Caenorhabditis elegans: one gene and its partner. The protein of the gene in region 2 interacts with the protein of the main gene of each other region in a pairwise test. Each region holds a gene or a part of one and is shown on either strand. Other genes may lie near its edges.

What was found.
Region 1: the proteins of W03D8.9 (region 2) and zyg-11 interact in a two-hybrid assay, tested with the Caenorhabditis elegans proteins (one large-scale study listed by BioGRID).

The regions. Positions count from the first base shown.
Region 1 is NC_003280.10:8,015,567-8,021,345, forward strand, and holds zyg-11 (Early embryogenesis protein zyg-11), read left to right. Parts: upstream 1-2,113; 5' UTR 2,114-2,125; coding exon 2,126-2,222; intron 2,223-2,265; coding exon 2,266-2,502; intron 2,503-2,545; coding exon 2,546-3,166; intron 3,167-3,218; coding exon 3,219-3,513; intron 3,514-3,562; coding exon 3,563-4,192; intron 4,193-4,238; coding exon 4,239-4,577; intron 4,578-4,634; coding exon 4,635-4,815; 3' UTR 4,816-5,219; downstream 5,220-5,779. Other genes in the region: hda-2 (Putative histone deacetylase 2), read right to left, coding at 5,352-5,779.
Region 2 is NC_003279.8:2,783,817-2,787,985, forward strand, and holds W03D8.9 (Membrane transporter protein), read right to left. Parts: upstream 2,262-4,169; 5' UTR 2,212-2,261; intron 2,038-2,211; 5' UTR 1,981-2,037; coding exon 1,779-1,980; intron 1,660-1,778; coding exon 998-1,659; intron 947-997; coding exon 851-946; 3' UTR 804-850; downstream 1-803. Other genes in the region: Y71F9B.15 (Glycoprotein), read right to left, coding at 173-292, 334-455; W03D8.14 (uncharacterized protein), read right to left, coding at 4,165-4,169.

The DNA of each region.
Region 1 (5,779 bases), on a different chromosome or scaffold from region 2:
TATGCGGGAAAAAAAAAACTGTTTTTTTCGCGCATTTTTTGCATTTTCTCGCCACAAATCTTATTTTCTGTCTGCGTTACATCTCAAAGTCAGCAGAATGAGCGAATGATAACCATCTCTTGTACTGTTTATAACCTTCTCTCTTAATTTTTCTTGTTGTAGCCGCCGCTTCCCCCCAGTTCATTTCACCGTGTCTTTCGTTTCTCGAGAACCTTCTTTTTCTTTATTTCTTCCTTTTTTCTTCAAAAAATCAGTGTCAACAAGCTAGACCAGCTGACTTCTCAACTCTTCGGTCATTGCTCTTTTCGTGTTCATTTTGTTACACTTGTACTGCGTGCACATATGAAGATGAATTGGCAACGAATTGTTTGCAAAAGAAGTGATCGGAAGCTTAACTTTTCAGTGTGTGGAGCAGTACAAATACCATGTAGCTTTGTTTTAACTTGTAAGAGAAAAAAAGAGATGAGTAGGCTGGTTATTTCCAATGATTTTGAGATATTTCATGCGAAAAAGTTTACTTTCATCGATCTCACGAAAAACTTTGCACAACTCTCCTGATCTGCAACCAGAAAATTCGTTGTCCTTTCTGTTTTCTTTCTAAATTTTTTTTCTATTTTCGCTTGCCGTCATTATTATTATCCAACATTCGAGAGTATTTAGAGAAAATGAGAGAAAAAATGTGTGCTTTCTTTACAATTGACAGGAGAGAGAGACGTCGGGGAAACCCTCTTCTTCTGATTCTCACCCATCCCGTTATCATGATCACATGACACTTCCCTCCACTCCGGGGTTCCCCGTACTGAATGTAATCAGTTGGTTGGTCGACTACCCAGTCGACGGTGAAAACTTCACGCGAGCATCGCAATTTTCATTTATTTTTTCTTAACTTTTCTCGGTATTAACGCATTTTTTTCTTTTGTACGATACGATGCGACATGATTCAAGGTTGCCTCGATTGATTTTACTGAATTCAGAAGTTCAACCTGACGATTAGTAATTTTATTTATTTTATTCATCGGAAATACGATTAAATACTTAAAGCATTCTCAATATAATTTTATTGACCGTTGACACTCACATGTGAGTTGAGTTGATTTTTAGAAAAGAGACGTAATGGGAAAAAACCACGTGTAGTGTTATCAGCCATTCTCGAATGTCGTTGAAATTGTGCAATACCCGGACAACCACAATCCAGCGAACAAATTGATAATGATAGTTTGAAAAATTGTGTCAACTTATTCAAATTTGCAACAATGTTTAAAAGTGCGTAGATCATGTCTGCGTCTCATCGGGAATGTTGACCGCCTGATGTGCGTGCGCATTCGAAACAATTATCATCGACGTTTTCGAATTATTTTCCTCTCGTCTTCTCGGCATGCGTTTGCGTGCAATCATACCGAAGAAACGGTATAGTATACTGTTCAATCAGTTAGTCACATGTAATAGTTGAAAGGGGTTCCCCATAATGACATGTGATCTTTTCTTCTTTTTCCTTTTCTTCGTACTGTTCTCATGACGTAATGTTCTCTTGATTGAAAAAGAAGTCGTTGTTGAAGGAGAATTGAAAGAGATGCAGAAAAACAAATTATCGATAAATTTTCTGTTGCTATTCAATAAGATTTTTCAACAGTAAGGATGTAGTTTGTAACATACGAATATTAACATATCTTTGCACCCCGTATTAAATCTAATTGGAATTAATTTTTTATGTATCAGCAAAAGATGAAATTTTCGACCGTCTAATAAAAAAATCATTACTTTTATTTTAATATTACTTGTTGCTTAAAAATGCATTTTCGCTCCAATGACATGGCCGAGGACCGTTTAAGGCCGACGTTAATATGCCCATCGTCCAGTGTCCCATACTCTTTTCTACCTCTCCTTTTTCTCTTACTTTCATTTTCTTTGTGTAAGTGTCTGGAACCAGTCTGCTCCTTCTTTCTCATCTATTTTCACCCTCTCACTTTACTATTTGTTCTCATTTTCTATAAATTGCAACCTACATAGTAACTCATAGAGAGTCCCACTAAATATTTATTTAGCCCTCATTCATCAGGCACTTCGATCTCTCTTTACTTTTCACTAATAAAGTTAATTTTACTTTTAATTTCAGATTTCATCTGATATGGATCACAATGCAGCTCTGACGACATGCAGTACCTCGGCCATTCCGAGACTTGCGAGATTGGCGACTGAACGAATTGCTGAGCTCATCGAAAATGGTAAATTTATTGATTTCGGCATTTATGGAAATTAAAGTTTCAGATGCTCTGCCAGAGTTTGATCACAAGGTAATCGCCTCATGCAGCAACGATATTTTTGAAGTTCTTCGCCAAAAAAAGAAACTCAATCATCAAACTTTGCAAACGATGTGCAGTACCTCACGATTCCAAATCAATAAAATTGATTTGATGGGCAACAAGGTTGAGTTGCAAGATTTGGAGCTTTGTTCGAACCAGAACCTGGTTTCATTCCGACTTGGCGATATTGATTACTTTCCAAGTAAGCAGTTTTTGTTAAAACATTTTAATACATTTTTTTTCAGATACGAACAAAATTCAAGTGGCTGACGTGCTTGATACGGCACTCAACCGAACTTCACGACAACAGCTTCGACATCTTGATCTGAGTGGACGACACAGAATCACTTCAAATTGGCCGACGTATGTAGCGAGAAAACTTCCTCGTCTGGAAAGTCTTGCTTTCGCTAACAGAAGCACTGCCAACGAAACTTTGTCACAAATTGGAGCGAGTTTGTTGAATCTTCGGTTCCTGGACATTTCGAGCACCTGTGTCACGGATATTTCTTGCATTTCAAGTCTTCGAAATCTCGAAGTCCTCATTATGTACAACCTGAACATTTTGAAAGGGGATGTCACAGAGACATTGTCTAATTTGACAAAATTGCGTGTATTAGACATTTCAAGAAAAGTCAACACAGACTATTTACAAGAAACGTCACAGGATGCTCATCTCGATTTGGCTCTTGGTATCTACAACAGATCTGTGGAAGCAATTGAGAGCGGGACAGCTACGCCTTGGGCGGAGCTAAGAGCAATTGATATGTCTGGTTTGAGCATTGTTCAATTTGGTACCGATCGAGCACTGGCATTTGTTGAGAAGATTATTGAGGCGCATCCGAAATTAGAGCAAATTAGCTTACTTGGTTAGTAATAGTTTTATTCTGGAAATGTAGTGTTTTAATTCTGAAATTACAGCAACTCCACTCGACTCGTCACTCATTGAGATTCCAAACAGAAATTTGCAAGTGATCAACACAGTCTCGAGAAGATCTATCATTTTTGCATTGTCCCATTATGCAAATCTGGACAGGCCTGCATTCATCACTCATGCTCTCCATTCTGTGTATTACCAGTTACAGTCCGGCTACGACAAGTTTTCACAGGAGGAGTTGAAAGAGTGTTTACGGCTTGTGTGTATCTCGATGCAGCAGGGGCTCAACACTTTGCCAGTGCAGATTGCGGGTAGTGCTTGTCTCTATCATCTTTGCAAGTACGTATTATTATTTTATAAATGTATTTTCCATGATGGAAACTTTCAGAATGAAGCGAATCAAGAGATTATCAGTAAAAGAAGTCAACAATTGCATTGAACGGTCACTTGACGCAGCAGAGCAGTATAGAAGCATGACGCAGCTGCAGAAGAACGTCTGGCTTACAATTTGTAATGATTATCTTCTTCATTTGGATGAAATTGATTTCTACCGTACCTGCAAAGTTGCTCTCGACACGATGCTTTTGAATCGTGATGCCAGCGTTGAGAGAATGACTATTGCAATTGTGTCGATTGTGACTCCAAAGATGCGACCATCAGAAGCAAAGATTCTAACAACTGAAACCAAATATGTATACCATCTTGTCAAAATCATGAATGATTATCTGGAGGCATATACTCGTGAACATCGAGTTGGACACGAACGAGACAATGAAAATGCACTGTATACTCTGAAGTTCACCCTGAGTGCACTCTGGAATCTAACAGACGAATGCCCGGCTACATGCAAAGCATTTTTGGATGCTGGAGGTGTTCAGATTGCGTTCAGAATTCTCAAAGCTTTTGATTATCATGGAAATGTGCAGACGAAGGTTCTTGGCATCCTCAACAACTTGGCCGAAGTGGAAGAATTGCATTTGGGACAGCTTTGCAAAAACGAGTATATTTCTGTTCTTATGTATGTTTTTTAATTCGTTGAATTCAATTTAACCAATTTTTTTCAGTTCTTGTCTTGACGGATCATTCAACGAAGTAGATTCGAAAGGACGGTATCGTGAAGTTGAACGATCTTATTTCGCTGCTGGAATTCTCGCTAATCTTCTGACCAACACTGATGGTTGGGAGAGTGAAAATCAACGTGACGAAGCTTGCGAAAAGCTCTTGGAGCTTATTGAGCAGTATCCCACACTTCCATCGGCAATGGTCTCCTACAAATCTTTCATTCCATTCAGTCGTATTGTTAGAGAGTCAAATTCGAATGGGGCCATCATGTGGTGTTTGTGGGGAGTTCATCACGTTCTTCAACATCGCGAGAAGAACAAAGCGCCTACGTATGAGAAAGGGTACGTTTTTGATTTACTTTTTTCTTAATTTCAAAAATCATTTCAAAACATTTTCAGATACATCGAAATGTTTATGGATTCCGGGCTTTCTCCAATCGTCGAGGATATGTCCCATGGACACTCGAAACACATTCACAATCTGGATATTCGTGTGGTTCATCTCGCACGAGAAATCATTGACATTGTCTCATGCCATTCACTATCTTCCAGCCCAGTTCGATTAGTCCGTCGAGTTTAGTCATTTTTTTGTTTATTTTTTTTATTATTATTTTTGTTTAGCTTTCCCATTTTCAAAGTCCCCATCTACAGGTATATCAAATTGAAACAAGTTATATTTATACGGGTTGATATTTTTATCCGTTTCACCCATAGCAATTAGATTGCATTAAAAACTAAATTAGATGTTTGGTTTCACTATTTTTCACTTCTCCCTGTAATATGTTGAACTGTGAATGTGATTACTTCTGTGGATATTTCATCGGTTGTTTCCATTTCTTTTTCTGTACCCATCCCTACTCACAAATTTGCTCGTCCCACTTTCTTTCGCGGGTATTTTTTCGGGAGTACCATTTCCTCCTTTATGTTTGAAATAGTTGTATATTTTCAGATTCTATTGTGAATGAAAACGTTGAAGCTCTGAAATTTGGTTTATTACTTGAGAAATTTAGAGATCATGCAACAGAAAACAATATAAAATCGGAAATACTGAAAACCAACACAGAAAAGATTTTTGACAAATTCATCACAGTGTTTAATCATTAATTACATGGAAAGTTACGGAATTCCGGGAATATTGAGATCTTTTCGTCTGTCGCGATCTTCATATTTTGCTTCTTCAATAACATCCGAGTGACTTCTCGGTGGAGCCAATCCAGACCTGTCATATCCCCAGTACTGACCAATCCGACGAGGATCTTGACCCGGTGGAAATGATGGAGGTTTTGAGTCTTCTTCTACAAAGCATTCTTCTTCCATTTTCTCTGATACTTTTCCAACTTCATATTCAATTGAAGATTTTGATGATTTTTGTAGTCGTTCATTTTCTTCGATTTGCTCAATTTCGTCGAGCCTGATTCCAACAATATTTTGCATTTGAACTGATGGTGCTCCACGAATCATTCTCAAACATGCCAGCGTTTCTTTTTCAATAGAAGCCAAATATGCCGCAGAATTAGCATCATTCATTTTTGGAACCAAATTTG
Region 2 (4,169 bases):
CCGCGCCCGCCTGCCTCTCGACGCGAGCCTCGGCTCCTGTAGAGTGCGGCGTGGAACCAAAAGTGTGCAGAAATGAAGCGAGAGGCCGGCGTGAGGCGGGCAGGTTGGAGGCAGGCGTCAGGCCTTGAAACCGTGCCTGCCTCCCATGGAAGCCCTAAGATGCCTATCTCACTCTGCTTTACAAGATTTCATGCTATATTTTGATCCAATAATGCTAAGATCCGTAATAAAGTGGTAAGGCGACACCATAAAAGTTCGATATCCTCCGTCTAAATCGTAATAGTAGGCGGATCTGAAATTGAAAATTAGGAATTTATTGGCTGACAAACTCACTTTTCCGATCTCCCACAGATTTTGAGTCTTTTCTCATTTTGCTCTTCGGTCAGCTTCAACATCTGCCCATTGCATGTTACCAGGAAAACCAAGAAAACAAGACATTTCGGCAGTAACACCATAGTTTTTACCAATTGATTTTCTTGGAAAAATTGAAAAGAATTGGGAGAATAGTTTCTTCAACCCCGTGTGATTCACGTTCTCAGAAAATTCAGGTTTCAGGTTGAAAAAAACTGAAAAATAGAAAACCAAATTGAAAAGGAGCAAATAATCTCAAAAATCAGATGTCGCAACAGTGGGGAAATCGTTAAACACCAGTCCTATGAGCCCAAATAACCCATAGTAAAACCTTCCAGAAAAAAAATCTGTTTTGACGGAAATTGTGACGAAATGGAATCAGTTTGAACTGATTACAGGAGCTCAAAAAGCTTGAGAAGACTTGCAAAAACATGAAACTTTTGAACAATCAGGAGAATTCTAATTCATTTTATTGACACAAGAAATGGGTAAGTTCAATTCAAGCCTTTGGTGGTTCAGCAGATCCAAACAATCCATAGACCAAAGCCTTCGAGAAGAGGAACGAGGAGACCAAGAGGATTTGATACATATGGTGCTGAAAAATGGATTTTTGAAGTTTTTGAAGTTTATCGGGTATTTAACTTACTCTGTTTGGTGGCGACATGTTCTTGTTGGCAATTTGAAGAAGTGCACCGGAAGCAACACTGTAAAGTGCACTCAATAGGAAATAGGAGAATGAGAGGCTTCCAGAGACGATTCCAAACACAAGCTGAACTCCGAGAGCAGCCCCAATTGCACCGCCCAACAATGGAGCACGAGCTGTACCAACTTGTCCGGCAATCAATGGATATGCGAATGCAATGACCAATGGAGTGATGAATCCAAGTGGTTGGCCACCCAAGTAAGTGTACGAGATTGAGTGTCCCATCAAAATTCCTTGAGCCAAGGCCAGAACCAACAATTGAAATCTTGTGGCAGAAGTTGAGCCATTCTCAGCATTCAAATAATATGCACCGGCTCCTGGGAGAACAAGAGAGGCGAGAATTGCAGCACCACCTCTTCCAATGAATATTCCAAAGATTGGCGAGAGCACATATCCACCAATGATGCTGGCAATCCCGGCTCCGAGAAGAAGGATCGAAGACCATCCAAAGATCTCAACAACCGAGGAAGTGGGCAAGCCAACTGGTTGTTGAGTCTCTTGAAGAGCCGAGAGAATCTCCTGGGTTTGTGATTGGATCTGCGACTGCATCTGTTGGATTTGAGCAGGCCCATCTTGTTGAAGAGCAGTGGCACGTTGACGGAGACCTGGAAAATTAATAGATAAATAATGCCAGTTTGCAACGTGTTCATAAGGAACCTTGCAGAATTGGCATAAATGTTGTTTTCTACAGATTCCACCTTTTACAAAAACCAAACTTCCCTACCTTCTGCAGCCTGTTGGATGTCCTGAACGTAATTTGCGTACGTCTTCGTAACGAATCCAATTGATGCATCCTGCCCTCCTGCACCCATTTGAGATCCTCCAGCTTCTGGGGCAATTGACGGAGCAGCATCAGCAGGTGGTGCGGCATCAGATGGTGGAGCAGCAGCACTCGGCTCCATTGCGGATTGTCCTCCTTCGGCCATTTTTCGCTTGTTCACCAAAAGGGCGGTTTGTATCGGATTTGTGAGTTGCACAGAGTGCTAAAAGTTCCGATATATATTGCGATAAGCCAGAAAAGACTTCATCAATAATACGCGTATCAGGGGTGCTTGCCACACTGGCTCATTTTGTAGAATTGCCCGTCGGCAATTTCCCCGCAACACTGATACACGTATTACACACGCTTTACATGTGTAAAGTGATAACAAACTAACCTTGAAGATTCCAACTCGAAGTGTCGAGTATATCGATTAATAAAATTTTTGGACGATTCTCTCCTATTTATGAACATAATCCACGTAAATTGGGGGTGGCACGTAAAATGATTATTCTTTACTCTTGTTTTTATTGAAATTGTACAAACTTAATATAAAAGTCTCCAAAAAACATTTTTTCCGTGATTTTTATTTTTGAATAAAAACAAGAGTAAATAATAATCATTTTACGTGCCACCCCAAATTTACGTGGATTATGTGCATAAATAGGAGAAAATCGTCCAAAAAATTCATTAACCGATATACTCGACACCTCGAGTTTGGACTACAAACCGCACTTTTGGTGAACAAGTGAAACAATGGCCGAAGGAGGACAATCCGCAATGGAGCCCAGTGCTGGTGCTCCACCAACAGATGCCGCACCACCTGCTGATGCTCCGTCAGCTGCACCAGAAGCTGGAGGATCACAAATGGGTGCAGGAGGACAGGATGCATAAATTGGATTTGTAACGAAGACGTACGCCAATTACGTTCAGGACATCCAACAAGCTGCAGAAGGTAAGGAAGTTTGGTTTTTGTGGATTGTGGAACCTGTAGAACCTGGCAATATTTATGTCAATTCTGCATGATTCCTGATTGACACATCGCAAACTGGCATCACTCATCTATTAATTTTCAGGTCTCCGTCAACGTGCCACTTCTCTTCAACAAGACGGGCCTGCTCAAATCCAACAGCTGCAGTCGCAGATCCAACCACAAACCCAGGAGATTCTCTCGGCTCTTCAAGAGACTCAACAACCAGTTGCCTTGCCAACTTCCTCGGTTGTTGAGATCTTTGGATGGTCTTCGATTCTTCTTCTCGGAGCCGGGATTGCCAGCATTATTGGTGGATATGTGCTCTCGCCAATCTTTGGAATCTTCATTGGAAGAGGTGGTGCTGCAATTCTCGCCTCTCTTGTTCTCCCAGGAGCCGGTGCATATTATTTGAATGCTGAGGATGGCTCAACTTCTGCCACAAGATTTCAATTGTTGGTTCTGGCCTTGGCTCAAGGAATTTTGATGGGACACTCAATCTCGTACACTTACTTGGGTGGCCAACCACTTGGATTCATCACTCCATTGGTCATTGCATTCGCATATCCATTGATTGCCGGACAAGTTGGTACAGCTCGTGCTCCATTGCTGGGCGGTGCAATTGGGGCTGCTCTCGGTGTTCAGCTTGTGTTTGGAATCGTCTCTGGAAGCCTCTCATTCTCTTATTTCCTCTTGAGTGCACTTTACAGTGTTGCTTCTGGTGCACTTCTTCAAATTGCCAACAAGAACATGTCGCCACCAAACAGAGTAAGTCAAATAACCGATGAACTCAAACTTTAAAAATTCTTTTTTCAGCACCATATGTATCAAATCCTCTTGGTCTCCTCGTTCCTCTTCTCGAAGGCTTTGGTCTATGGATTGTTTGGATCTGCTGAACCACCAAAGGCTTGAATAGTACTTACATCTCTTGTGCCAATCTTGTGTCAATAAAAATCCATTTGAATGCTCGTTTAATTAATTTTTAAAAAGTCTCGAGCTTCTTGTGTGTCTTTGTGCATTTGTGATTCGAATCTGATTTGATTCTGTTTTGATATTTTCAGTTGTACAAAACCTTCCCAGTTCTACCTGTAAAATAGTAAATGGTGGCAAAAAAGGTTAATTTCTACGAAAAAGTCATCAAACTCTTAATTCTCCCACCTTTTCATAATTTTTTTACATAGTTTAAATTTTCTACCTTTCTACTCTCCAATTTTAATTTTGTGGGAGAATTGTATTTTTGAAAAATTGAATCTTTCAGAAGCTCAGTGGAAAATTTTCAAATATAGCAAATCCGGTCAAATCGGTAGGCATAATATAGGCAGGCACACATTTTTGTCTGAAAAAAAAACAACCGGAGAATAAATCAATTTATATCCATAATCACC